2 linked regions of the Macaca mulatta genome follow. The protein of the gene in region 1 interacts with the protein of each later gene in a pairwise test. Links are inferred from orthologs where the notes say so. Each region holds a gene or a part of one and is shown on either strand. Other genes may lie near its edges.

Region 1 (6,081 bases):
GGCTGGCGGTGAATAAATCCTAATCTTTCTGATTATAGGAGCCCTTTGGTTTCTTTTTTTTTTCTTTTTTCTGTACATGGTGACTGATAAGAGTCCTTCACTTTCTAACCTCATATCCTGCTTCTAATTTTTAAAAATAATGTGCATGTATGGATTCTCAGTCAGCATAAATGCTAATAAAGATAAAACAAGCTTTAGCTGAGCATGGTGGTGGGCGCCTGTAATCCCGGCTACTCAGGAGGCTGAGGCAGGAGAATCGCCTGAACCTGGGAGGCGGAGGTTGCAGTGAGCCGAGACTGCACCACTGCACTCCAGCCTGGGCAACAGAATGAGACTCGGTCTCAAAAAAAAGATAAGACAAACTCACATTTCAATGAGTGGCCCAAACGGAATCCTGCTATCTGTTACCACACAGAATGGCTCTTGGGGCTTTGCCAGTTTAAAAATGCTGTGTTTATTTCTGTCGTGGAGGAGATAAAACCCTACAGAAGAAGGAAAGAAAGGAGGCCTACCAAGAGGTTGACAGACTCGATGACGTCCAGGAACACCTCGTTCTTCCGATACTTGATGCCTTCGGACCGCCAGGACACCGCGTTGGTGACGGTGGCTGGGGGCCGCGGGGCCCCTGTTTCCAGCTTGTGGCCTTCCTGAGTGATGTACCTGTGGGGCCACATGCTCAGAGTGAAGCAGGTGGCACCTGCACCAACGCCACAGCTTCTGGCCCTGATATTTCGGCAGGGTCAGGGCGGGTGCAGGGCAGGTTCTGGCCACCTTGAAAACAGCCCCTGGATTTCAGCAGCTCCAGAAAAGGCAGCCTGTGGTTTCACGTGGGGCTGCTTCATTCAGGAAGATCTTCACAATTTCTAAAACCCAATACACTCAAGTTATAGAGTCTAAAGTGCTCATTTGGGGGGGCCAAGAAGACCATGTTGGGGAGGAAAATAAGAACTGGGTGGAGCTGCTTCCCGTCCCCGCTGAGCATGCGGATGGAACTGCCACCTCGGAGCGTAACCTGGTGACCCCATCCCGCTGAGGGAGCAGCAGGTGCAGTGGTTAGGAACACAGGCTTCTCGGGGAGTCTGTTTGCTTGACCCCCTGTAAAACGGGGAGACGGTAAATGGGGAGGCTATGAATCGAGTGAATGTGAAGTGCTGGGGCCTGGCCCCCAGGAAGCACTTAATTCACGTTGCTTACTATCTGAAGGGCAGGATTCCAAAGAGGGGAGATTTCGATCAAGTCTCATTTTATGACAGTAAAAACAAAGGAGCTACCTTAGTAGCAAGGGACTGAGGGCATCTGTGCGGATGGAGAGTAAAGATGAGGAGCAGGAAAAGCACTGTTATGTGGGGGTGTAGAGGAGGAAACGAATTAAAACCACTAAGCAACTTAGTAAAAACCCGAATACGGCTGGAGGTGGAAGGCAGGTGGGGGACAACACAAACACAAATTTGCCCCTTCTGTTTCCACACCTGATGACATCAATATCATGACACTGCCCAGGCCTTGCCCCAGGCCCCACCCTTGCCCACTCACTCCTGCAGGATCTTGCTGTCGGTGGTCTGGGGGTAGCCGAAGTCCATGAGCTCATCCAGCAGCTCGTAGATGATGACAAAGTTGTCCCGGATGCTCTCCTCCTCCAGCTCCTTGAAGTACTCGGAAAACACCTGTGGCGGTGAGGGAGGGAGGGAGGGAGGGACGAGAGGCAGATCGTTGAGCAGACAGATGAGGAATGAATGAACGCTTGCACACATTCATTTGCCCACTAAGTCCTACCAACAGCCCACTTCCCAGGCTCAGTGGCGTGCTACAGGCCCTGGACCCAGGTAATGGGGCAGGAGGACAGCAGTGGTTGGCTGTGGGGTGGGACCAGTCTGGAGCTGCTACAGATGTCCCCGTTCTCTTCCCTGCCCAGACACCCCCAGGCAGGGAGCCCCTCCTGAGCAACTGTAACTGTCATCCCTTCCTGAGTCTGGAGTGACTCAGGCGAGGACCTGATGAGCTACCATCTTCCCCATTTCAATGGAAAGCTCAGAAGGTTAAGGAAGGGACGCCAAAGAAGAGGGGCTGTTAGAAGCACTTTTGCAGGCACGAATGCTGAAGGAAGGGGCGTCACTAAAGCAGAAAGGAACTGCCCAACCCTTGGGTGAGGACCTTCCCCTTCCCTCATCCCCCATCCTCTGATCTGCTGACCCCATGCGCTTTAGGACTGTGATCGCCCGGCCCCTGCTTGGAAATCACAGGTGTCATAGCCAGGCCCAGCCCTGCCTGTGACAGCACCACGGGTCCAGTGAAGCAGCCCTTGGCCTGCACGCGGGGCCTTCCCAGATGACCCTCAGCTCCTTCCCCAAGCCCTCACCGCCCAGGCTTGCCCCTGTTCCCCAACATTCTGCACAGGCGGCATCAGTGAGGGATGAAAGCTTTCCCAGGCCCAGCACAGGCCTCCTGGGTCCTATTCCCCACTTTCTTGAGCCCCAGAGCCCGCCCCGGCCAGGCTCATCCTCTCCAGGAAGCCAGCAGCAGCCTCCTCACTGGCTTCCAGGCTGCCTTCAAGTCCTCCTTCTGCTCAGCAGCCAGAGAGGCTGCTTTAGATCAAACCATGTCTCGTCAGTCTCCTGCTTAAAGCCCTCCACCACCTTTCATCAGAAGTGGAACAAAATCCACACTCCTGTATAACCTGCCCTCTTCCCAGCTGACCTCAGCTTTATACTCTGCCAAAGGCATGCCGGCCTCCCTGGCCGCACCACACACACACCTGTCCCAGGACCTTTGCCCTGGCTGCTGTCTGCATCTCACTGGCAGCCTGGGCCTGGCGTGTCAGCTCTCTCCAAGGTGGGCCTCGGGCATCTGTGCCTTGAGAGCCCCCTGGGACATTCTAAGCTGGCTCAGCTCTGCAGCTCTGCTGGTTATTCCAGCCCCATCAGCTGGTCACCCCATATCCTTCCAAAGCTGGCTGGGGGACTTGCTTGTCCCTTCCAGGGTCAGGGCACCACTGCTCAGCCCCACCTTTTCCTGTTCACTTTCCTTTCTTCCCCGGGGTCAGGGAGCAACACGAGCTACAGAATTCCACAGGCATGGTGGCGGGGTTTGGGGCTCCCCTTTGCCACTTCCTGGGGTTCCAGCCCCAGCACTCTCTAGGGAGGCCACGGCTGTCTCTAAGGTGGCCGGGTATGGGGAGATCCACAAGCAGAGCCAAGACAGCTGCCACTCAAGCCCACAGCCCCGCTGAGCGAGACTCACCTGCACCACCTTATAGAGGAAGGAGAAGACCAGCGACACGCACGCATTCTTCTTGGATGTGGCAACCACTGCACGGTGGTCACAGTTAAGGAGCATTCAGAGGCTGGGGCTGCTGCCTGGAAGATCCCGGTTCATGGAGGGACCCTCTAACCCTCACAACCCTCAGAGCCTTCCCTACCCCCACTCCCAGCCGTTTACCTGGCCCATGGTCGGCTACCAAGCTCCTGGTCCAAGCTACACCTGGGACACAGGAGTCACCAGAAGGACATGCTCCCAGGCCCCAGGGAGCACTCACCGACATAGAGAATCACAGGGATGGCAGGTGGCACAGGGCACCTGTCCCAGTGGCTGGGTGAGGAGTTGCCCTGAGCAGGGAGGGAGTGAGGCTCATTCGAGGAGCAGAAAGCAGGACACACTGGCCCTGCTCCTCCAAAGCCGACACCTCGTCATGACCCTGATGAGGTCCAGGGTCCCCTGGCCAGACTCTGCGGCAAGTAGCCAGGGCCAATTCTGGCTTCAGCCCTTCCTGTCTTTGGTAACACAAGCCTTGGCCCATGAAATAAACCTTTCTAGAGAAACCTCAATATTTCTCTCCTGTGTAATGGGGGCCTGTGAATGAACTCACCAAGGCAATGTACGTGAGATGTCTGGCACAGATGCTCCCTTCTGCCACGGGAGCCAGCCCCTGCCGCCCAGGGTCAGTGTGTGCTGGGCGCTTCCTGTTCCTTTTTCCCTAATGGGCCCCCAGAGAAGGCTGGTTCTTCCTCTGTAGGCCCACGCACTGCACCCCGGACATCCCTGTTCACAGCATGTCTGTGCCGCCTGGCTTGTCTGCCCAGAGGTGAGCTCTAGGAGGGAGGGCGGGGGCTGCATCCTCTCTTCCCGCCTCACCCCAGCACAGCACAGGGCCCCAGGAAAGGGACGCTGGCCCAGTCAAACGAGCGCTGGCCTCCCTCCTGCTGCCTGGCAATGTGCCCTCCCCAGATGCTTTATAAGCAGGGGCAGGGGTGCCTCTCAGCTTCATGGGTGCCATTCAGCCACGGCCTTGCTGAGAACTGTCCCGGCTGGGGGTGAAAGGATGTCCACTCAGCCAGAGGGGTGAGCCCAGGTGTGAAATGTGGGGGCCCAACCAGAAACTGATCTGACGGCTCCTGCTGAGCTCGGACCACAGCCACCTCACCCTCCTGTCAATACCTGGGCGGCTTCAGAGGACTGTCAGCTCCCTGGGTTAAAAGCCACCTAAGATCATCTTCAGAGCTATTCTCAGGGCCTTCCAGAACCAGGTGAAATACACACAGAGGCGCACCACAGGGAGCCGTGGACCAGCACGGCCCACATGGGAATGTGCACACGAGTCACCAGGAACAGATCTTCCTACAATGCAGATTCTGACAGGGCAGGGCTGGGTGGAGCCCGGGATTCTGCATTTCCAAAGGGCTCCCAGGGGATGTTCTGGCCCATTGGCCACACTGTACTACTGGCAAGGCCCCAAGTGTCTCCAAGAACACAGGAAAGGGCAGAGAGCCCATGCTGCTGGGAGCAATGTGCACAAGTCAGCTCAACTGACCCGAATGGTCCTGCAGCGAGGGGTCGTTGTTCCCACCAAACTGTGGGAAGGTGAGGGATTCGCCTCCAGCCCCATGGCTGCTGGAGCTGGGGCTCAAACCAGGCTGTGGCTGCAAAGCAGGCCCTTCCGCAGTAGTGTGGGTACTGAGATGGGCCTGCAGGTCTGCCCAAAGCCGTGGGGTGGCCAGTTAGACCTCCTGGATAGAAACTGGCTTGGCCAAGTCTCCCCATGGGCCCAAGGACAGGAAGGGTGGGGGACTCTGAGATCTGGGTGGGGCTGTGAGAAGTCTCTCCCCTTCTCTGTACCCTACCACCCCTCCGTGGTCCAGGCCACTTCCCTCCCACCTGCACGATGGCCCCAGCCTACTCCTCACCTACCCATGTCCTCTCCTGTCCCCACAGTCTTGCCCCACTCAGCAGCCAGAAACCTCCAGAAGATGCACATCTAAAAGCCTCCAAAGACTTCCTGTCACATTTCAGATGATGTTCTTTGAGACCCCAGACCCCGCTGACCACTCCGGCCTCACTGCTGCCACACGCCCCCTCTCGAGGGCTCCAGCCACCCTGATTGCAGCTGCTGGAATGAGCCTTTCCCTTGCAGAGCCTTCACCCACGCCTAGTGCCTGCCTGCCCCTCCAGCTGGCAGACGCCAGGCCTCCCTGCAGGCTTCCTCCAGGGTGTCACTTCCCTTCCTGGGCCCCTGGGCCAAAGAAGTTCAAGTCACACCTGCTCCTCTCCCCACACCCATCACGCGTGTCATCGTGCATTCTCTGCCTGTCTCTGCAGGCAGCAGGGAGCTCCGGGAGGGCTTGGCTGTATCCAATGCTCCCGCTGTGCAAAAACCAGTCCCGGCTGAAGGCGTGTGGACGTGCACACACACCAACACCCACACAGGAGTCTCCTGGGAGCCGCCCCAGTAAAGGGATACGATACAGGTTGTTGTGTTTGATCCACATGAAACGGACCCCTCCGTGGGCCAGGATGGGTGACAGCATCCCCTCCTCCTCCTTCTCCATCAGGATGGGCATGAAGTGCTCCACCTCCGACATGTCCACGTCGCCACGGTAGTTCCGGCAGATGAGCACCTGGGGTGGGGAAGGAAGAGGAATGATGCTTGCATTTTCAATTCTACAATCCAGGGGCTTGGGGCAGGGGGTGAGATGCACCAGCCTGCTTCCCTCTGGGGACTCCGGTCATGGCCCCTATCCGCAAAAGAGCAGGACTCGAGGCCGTGCTGATCTCCATCCCCCAGGGAATTCCTGGAGAAGAGCATCTCCC
Region 2 (6,181 bases), on another chromosome or scaffold:
GGCAGTCACAAATACCCCCGTGCTTTTCCAGTGTAAGCAGAATTTCATCTTTGCTGTCAAATCGAGCAGTAGACTAGTAAAAATAAATAGGAAAACCTAAATGAGCAATCCAGACTACCCCTAAAATGCAAATCTTTTTAAAATTTACTTTTGCTTTTAACACTACGTACAAAAATTATCTATTAACTTAAAAGTCTTTTATTAGCATTAACTTAGCAACTTAATAATTTATGAAAATAACCATTATAGAGAAGAAAAATCTCAAACATCCTTCAAAAGTATAGTCTAAAAAATTACAAAACTGGGCACTGACCGAAAATGCCAATTTTTCCAAAAAGTGAGCAATTCCACTAAGATATTTTGCTTCATATCTTGATCCTGAATTAATAAGAACTAGTAGGAAAAAGAAAATTGACAGGTTAAATCAGATATTCAAAATAAAATTTAATCAAGAGAAACATTTTAAAATTTCAATATGACATGATAATCAGATTTAACTATATGAGAGTGATTGTGCTGATGGTTTCACAGGTATATATGTAGGTCAACATTCATGAAATTGTATACTTTGCTTCCACTCAGGGTACAATTCGTAATTGGCATGCTAACTACAACTAACAGTCAACTAAAGCACGTGCATGTTAAAAATGCGGGACCACCCACAGCACCACAACAGTACTTACTTCCTACTGTACAAAACTGTCCAAACTTATTCTGAGATGCTACGTGAAGCCCATTATCCAATGTGGTTACTTTGGTTTCAAACTTTTCCTGTCCATCAACTGAAGCAAAAACAGGCTTGGGTACTCCAGGTAAAGGAGAAGAGAGGGGGATGTTGGGATAGGCACCACCACTACTAAACCGTCTGTACGCAGAAGGTCCAAACCTAAAACAGAGAAAGCGGCCCAGTTGCAACAGGCTTGAGACAACGAACCTGTGATGACCTCTTAAGTGCAGTTAGTTATGTTTTGTCTGGGTTAAAAGTAAGTATCTGCCTTTCTAAAGTACTTATTTCTATAGACTTTGGAAGACAAAGCAAAGGCTGACCACAAAGGCTCAGCCACAGGACCTGGAGCAAGCTGGTTCCATCCTTTGGGTCTTCGTGCTATTTCTGTAAAACAGGGCTTATTAACAGTAACCCACTCGAAATGCAGTTTGTACACATAAAGCACTTAACGGCTCTGCCCTCCAACAGTATCACTGAAGTCTTAGAAGCCATACCCCTTATTAACCTGGTCCGAAGGTGGGGTGTGACTTGGTCTCTATCTCCCTCTCCAAACTCATCTCTTGAACCCCCACAGCCCCATAGGTCCTGGTCACACTGATTATTCTGTCAATTCCTGGAACACATTTGATTCATTCCAAAGCTTCTTCACCCCCAAAGCTTCTTTGCCCTTTGCCCATGCCTACCCCTTCTTTCATTCTTCAGCTCTTCCCTTAAATGTCACCCTGATGGAGAACTATCCCTCATCACTCTAGTCTTTCCTGTTATTTCCTATCACGAAAGGCTGCTTGTTTACTCCAAAGCATTTACGCGATTGCCGATATTTTGTTCACGCTCCAGTCTGTATCCATCTCCTGGAGGCAGCACCTCCGCACCCCTGAAACAGCGCTCGTTGTGTGGGGAGGGGCGATGCCTGTGCTGTCGGAACAAAGTTCCAGCGTGGGGAAAGGCAGGCCCGGTCACTTGGGCGGGAGGGGCGGTGGGGACGGAAAGGGTTCTTAAACGTCAGAGATCAACGGACGCTCGAGCGCATCAACCGAGAGCCTGGACCCTCGTGTCAGAACCCTGCGGGTCTAACAGAGCTGGGGCCCCACCGGCTCAGCCTCCTGAGGGAGCACGCGGCAAAAGCACAGGGGCAGCGATGAAGCATGGCCTCGGACAAGGCCCGTCGACCCGGGAGGTGAAGGGGGGGAGAGGACCCAGCAGCCGGGGAGAGAGACAGATAGGACTGCATCCCCGGGCTTGAGGCGCAAGGCAAGGCAGGGCCCCCGTCGCCTCGGGGACCACACCAGTGTCCCGAAGTGCGAGCCCGTCGAACGGGCGCCATGTCGCCTGTAGAAACCAAAGACGGAGCGTCCAGAAAGACTCAAGCCGCCCCGGTCCCAGGCTGAAGCCTGGTTCGCCTTTGGCTCACCTCAGCCGCGAGCCGCTCCAACAACCCGACCCCCGCAGCAACCGCGTCGCCACGAGCACCACAGCCGCCATCTTGCGTCTCCGCCCCTGCTTCTGTCGTCACTTCCGCTTCCGCCCGCGGATTCCCCGCCCCCTTGGGCGACAACCCGAGGCGTTCCGGCGCGCGCTTCCGGTGCTCGGAGCGGAAGCAGCGGCGAGAGGCTCGGAGGAGCGGGGACGGCCAAGCGGCAGGCGACGGGGGCGGGCGACACGGACCGCGGCCCGGGCGGAGCCGGGGCCATGGAGCCGCCGCTGCCGGGCTAGGCAGGTCCTGCCCCGCCTGGCCCGCGGCGATGTCGGGCTACCCGCGCCGCCCGGGCGCCACCCCGCTGTCCCGAGTCCGGAGCCTCGCCATTCCCGACGGTGAGCGGGGCAGGGGCCGAGTCCAGCGGTTCAGGTGGGCGGCGGCCGCCCCGGCGCGCAGTAAAGTCGCTGTTGTCGTTGCTTCCAGCTCCAGCGTTCTATGAGCGCCGGTCTTGTCTCCCCCAGCTAGACTGTGAGCGCCCCCATGGCAGGGACCTGGACTCCCCCTTCTTCGGCATTCGGCCGGCCTTTATGTGCTATGTGCCCAGCCCGGTGCTGGCTTCCGTGGGAGACACAGGTGAGAGACGAGGGCGCCGGCCCCGGGGACGCCTCCAGTTCCCGCGCCACCTGTGGCACCTCCGCTGCCGCAAGAGCTCGTCCATTGACCCAACAATGAGCACCGCGCTCACTGCGTGCCAGGCACTCGGAATTCAAAGGCGGAGTCCCCTGCTAGGAGCTCACAGTCTGGTTGTGGGGAGACCTCCCCCCAGACAGTTCCAGTTCAGGATGGGTAGTGCCCAGGGAGCACAGGAGCCGGCCCGCTTTCCTCGTGGGGCTGAAGTGGGGGGGCCTTCACCCCAGTGGGCGGTGATTGGAAACGGAGCTGGAGCATTCCATCTGCCTCCACAGCCGGGCAGCGGCCAGATCTGGTTCATCCTCGTTCTACCCGAGCAGAAGTGCTGCTGGGTGCCCGGGGTGTGCGGGAGTGTTTGTGTGGCGCTGCCAGGGTCTGAGGACATTCGGGGGGTGTCACAAGACAAGAGGACACGCTCGCTCCGACTGGGCTTCAAAACCTACTGAGGAACCCCTTTCAGACCACAGATACCAGGGCCAGTCTGTGTGAGTCAGGCCATCTCCAGGGTCACAAGTCCGGGAGCTCGTGTTTTTTAAAGTTCTCTTGGCCCACCGGGCGCGGTGGCTCACGCCTGGAATCCCAGCACTTTGGGAGGCCGAGGCAGGTGGATCACGAGGTCAGGAGATTGAGACCATCCTGGCTAACATGGTGAAACCCTGTCTCTACTAAAAGATACAAAAAATTAGCCGGGCGTGGTGGTGGGCACCTGTATGTCCAGCTACTGGGGAGGCTGAGGCAGGAGAATGTCGTGAACCTGGGAGGCGGAGCTTGCAGTGAGCTGAGATTGCGCCACTGCACTCCAGCCTGGGCAACAGAGTGAGACTCCGTCTCAAAAAAAAAAAAAAAAAAGGTTCTCTAGAGGTTCTCTAGGCTGTGAGAACCACTGCAGTGGAGACTCCATGTGCAACAAAACCAAAACACAAATGTGAGGTCATAAAGACTTCCTGCCGTCATGGTGGGTGACATTGTTTCTTTGCAGATTTTGGCTATGAAAAGGGGAAATATTCTAAGCAGAGCCCGTCAGGAGCCCACGAGACACATTTTGGAGGTAGAGTAGTTCAGTCACCTTTTCTTCTTGTCTCCATCCAACACAGTGCCAGGCACGTGTCTGGTGGCAGGACTGTCGATATGACGGGCTACATGGTGTATCTGGAGCCCAAAAGAGCAGGTGGGGGTGGGATTTCAAGGGTTCAGTCTTGACCCTAGAGTAGGAGCGAGGTGCAAGGGCAGAAGAACCTGGGTGAGGGAACGTCAGGGAGTGGGGAAGTCCCACCTCAGGGGCTGGGGCCACAGGAGCCGGCATTACATGGGGCTCGCAGCTGGGAGGGCCAAGCGTGGCTGCTTAAGTCCCCGGAGGGTGGGAAAGCGGTGAGAGGGAGAAGAGAAAGGTGGGCGTTAGCTAGGTTACCTAAGTAGGAAAGTCGGGAAGAGGGTCAAAGAGCGCCGGATCCCCAGTTTTGCAGCACCTGAGGAACTTGTCGTTGCTGCTGCTGTTTGTTTTTTTGAGACGGAGTCTCACTCTGTCGCCCAGGCTGCGATCTCAGCTCACGGCAAGCTCCGCCTCCCGGGTTCTTGCCATTCTCCTGCCTCAGCCTCCTGAGTAGCTGGGACTACAGGGGCCCGCCACCAGGCCCGGCTAATTTTTTGTATTTTTAGTAGAGATGGGTTATCACCGTGTTAGCCGGGATGGTCTCAATCTCCTGACTTCGTGATCCGCCCGCCTCGGCCTCCCACAGTGCTGGGAGTACAGGAGTGAGCCACCGTGCCCGATCACCTGAGGAGCTTTGAGAGCTCCCAGCACAGGTTGACTTCACACCAGGGAACTGGGTGTGTGCAGTGGAGTGGCCTGGGTCGTTTTAAAGCTCCCCAGGGGAGTTTTAGTGGGCAGCACAGTGTGGGAGCAGGGGCCGAGGGGTGGAAGGAGAAGATTTCAAATGCAGACGCACGTCCGTGTCACTGCCCACTTTCAGCCACCTTCACGCTTTTTTTTGAGAGGGAGTCTCGCTCAGTTGCCCAGGCGGGAGTGCAGTGGTGCGATCTTGGCTCACTGCAAGCTCCGCCTCCCGGGTTCACACCATTCTCCTGCCTCAGCCTCCGGAGTAGCTGGGACTACAGGCGCCCGCCGCCACACCCGGCTAATTTTTTGCATTTTTAGTAGAGACGGGGTTTCACCGTGTTAGCCAGGATGGTCTCGATCTCCTGACCTCATGATTCACCTGCCTCGGCCTCCCAAAGTGCTGGGATTACAGGCGTGAGCCACCGTGCCCGGCCTCCTTCACGCTTCTTAGTGCCACCTGAGTCATGGTAGAATGACGAGCGTGGCTACCCGATCTCACATGTGGCCATGCTCCGGAAAGACAGGTGAACAGGAAGGTTCCCTTTCAGCGCTCTTCAGTAGACTTTATGCATCTGTGACGTCTGTTATTTCAGATGACAAATTTGAAGATCTCGAAGAGGCAAATCCATTCTCCTTTAAAGAGTTTCTGAAGACCAAGAACCTCGGCCTGTCAAAAGAGGACCCGGCCAGCAGGATTTATGCAAAGGTAAATCCACGGCATTGTGGGTGATGGCTCCGCGGGACGTTTCTGTTCTGGCCTCTGCGGCTTCCTTTGGAGGAGATTGTGCACGAGTGTGGCAGGGCAGGACAGGCATCAGTGCTGGGGAGCAGCTCTGGGCCCAGAAGCTGCTGGGCTCCTTCCAGTAGATGAGATTGGGCCTTTCTTCGTGTTCCGAGGCAGAACAGAGAGAAAGGAAGATGCACTCTGAGTCAGAAGCATGGCCTCCACTGTTTTTTGTCTTTTTTTTTTTTTCAGGAAGCCTCGAGGCATTCACTGGGACTTGACCACAACTCCCCACCCTCCCAAACCGGGGGGTATGGCCTGGAGTATCAGCAGCCATTTTTTGAGGACCCGACAGGGGCCGGTGACCTCCTGGATGAGGAGGAGGATGAGGACACTGGATGGAGTGGGGCCTACCTGCCGTCCGCCATCGAGCAGACTCACCCCGAGCGGGTCCGTGCCGGCACATCGCCCTGCAGCACATACCTTTCCTTTTTCTCCACCCCGTCGGAGCTGGCAGGGCCTGAGTCTCTGCCCCCATGGGCATTGAGTGACACTGATTCTCGCGTGTCTCCGGCCTCTCCGGCAGGGAGTCCTAGCGCAGACTTTGCGGCTCATGGAGAGTCTCTGGGAGACAGGCACCTGCGGACGCTGCAGATAAGTTACGAAGCAGTAAGTGAGCCTTGCGACGCCCTCTGGCACAGCACCTGTCCGAGCAGCCTCTCCCAGGGAGAACCTAGAGCTACCCTGCCTCCTGGGTGGCCTGGTTTGATTTCCAGGACGAGACGA

The links. The genes of interacting proteins can lie anywhere in the genome.
Region 2: the proteins of AP1M1 (region 1) and ENTR1 interact in binary tests that used the Homo sapiens proteins (3 or more experiments, as listed by UniProt). The two-hybrid records come from large-scale screens. The link is inferred for Macaca mulatta from reciprocal best matches to the Homo sapiens genes AP1M1 and ENTR1.

What each region holds. Positions count from the first base shown.
Region 1 is NC_133424.1:16,684,737-16,690,817, reverse strand, and holds part of AP1M1 (AP-1 complex subunit mu-1), read right to left. Parts: intron 5,917-6,081; coding exon of another isoform or gene 5,889-5,916; coding exon 5,732-5,888; intron 4,045-5,731; exon of another isoform or gene 3,533-4,044; intron 3,354-3,532; exon of another isoform or gene 3,334-3,353; coding exon of another isoform or gene 3,306-3,333; coding exon 3,238-3,305; intron 1,665-3,237; coding exon 1,534-1,664; intron 661-1,533; coding exon 513-660; intron 1-512. UniProt on the Homo sapiens protein: Subunit of clathrin-associated adaptor protein complex 1 that plays a role in protein sorting in the trans-Golgi network (TGN) and endosomes.
Region 2 is NC_133420.1:6,091,252-6,097,432, forward strand, and holds the start of ENTR1 (endosome-associated-trafficking regulator 1), read left to right. Parts: upstream 1-2,308; 5' UTR 2,309-2,469; coding exon 2,470-2,539; intron 2,540-2,627; coding exon 2,628-2,777; intron 2,778-3,813; coding exon 3,814-3,882; intron 3,883-5,264; coding exon 5,265-5,377; intron 5,378-5,647; coding exon 5,648-6,064; intron 6,065-6,181. Other genes in the region: PMPCA (mitochondrial-processing peptidase subunit alpha), read right to left, coding at 1-73, 314-393, 684-886, 2,139-2,209. UniProt on the Homo sapiens protein: Endosome-associated protein that plays a role in membrane receptor sorting, cytokinesis and ciliogenesis. Involved in the endosome-to-plasma membrane trafficking and recycling of SNX27-retromer-dependent cargo proteins, such as GLUT1.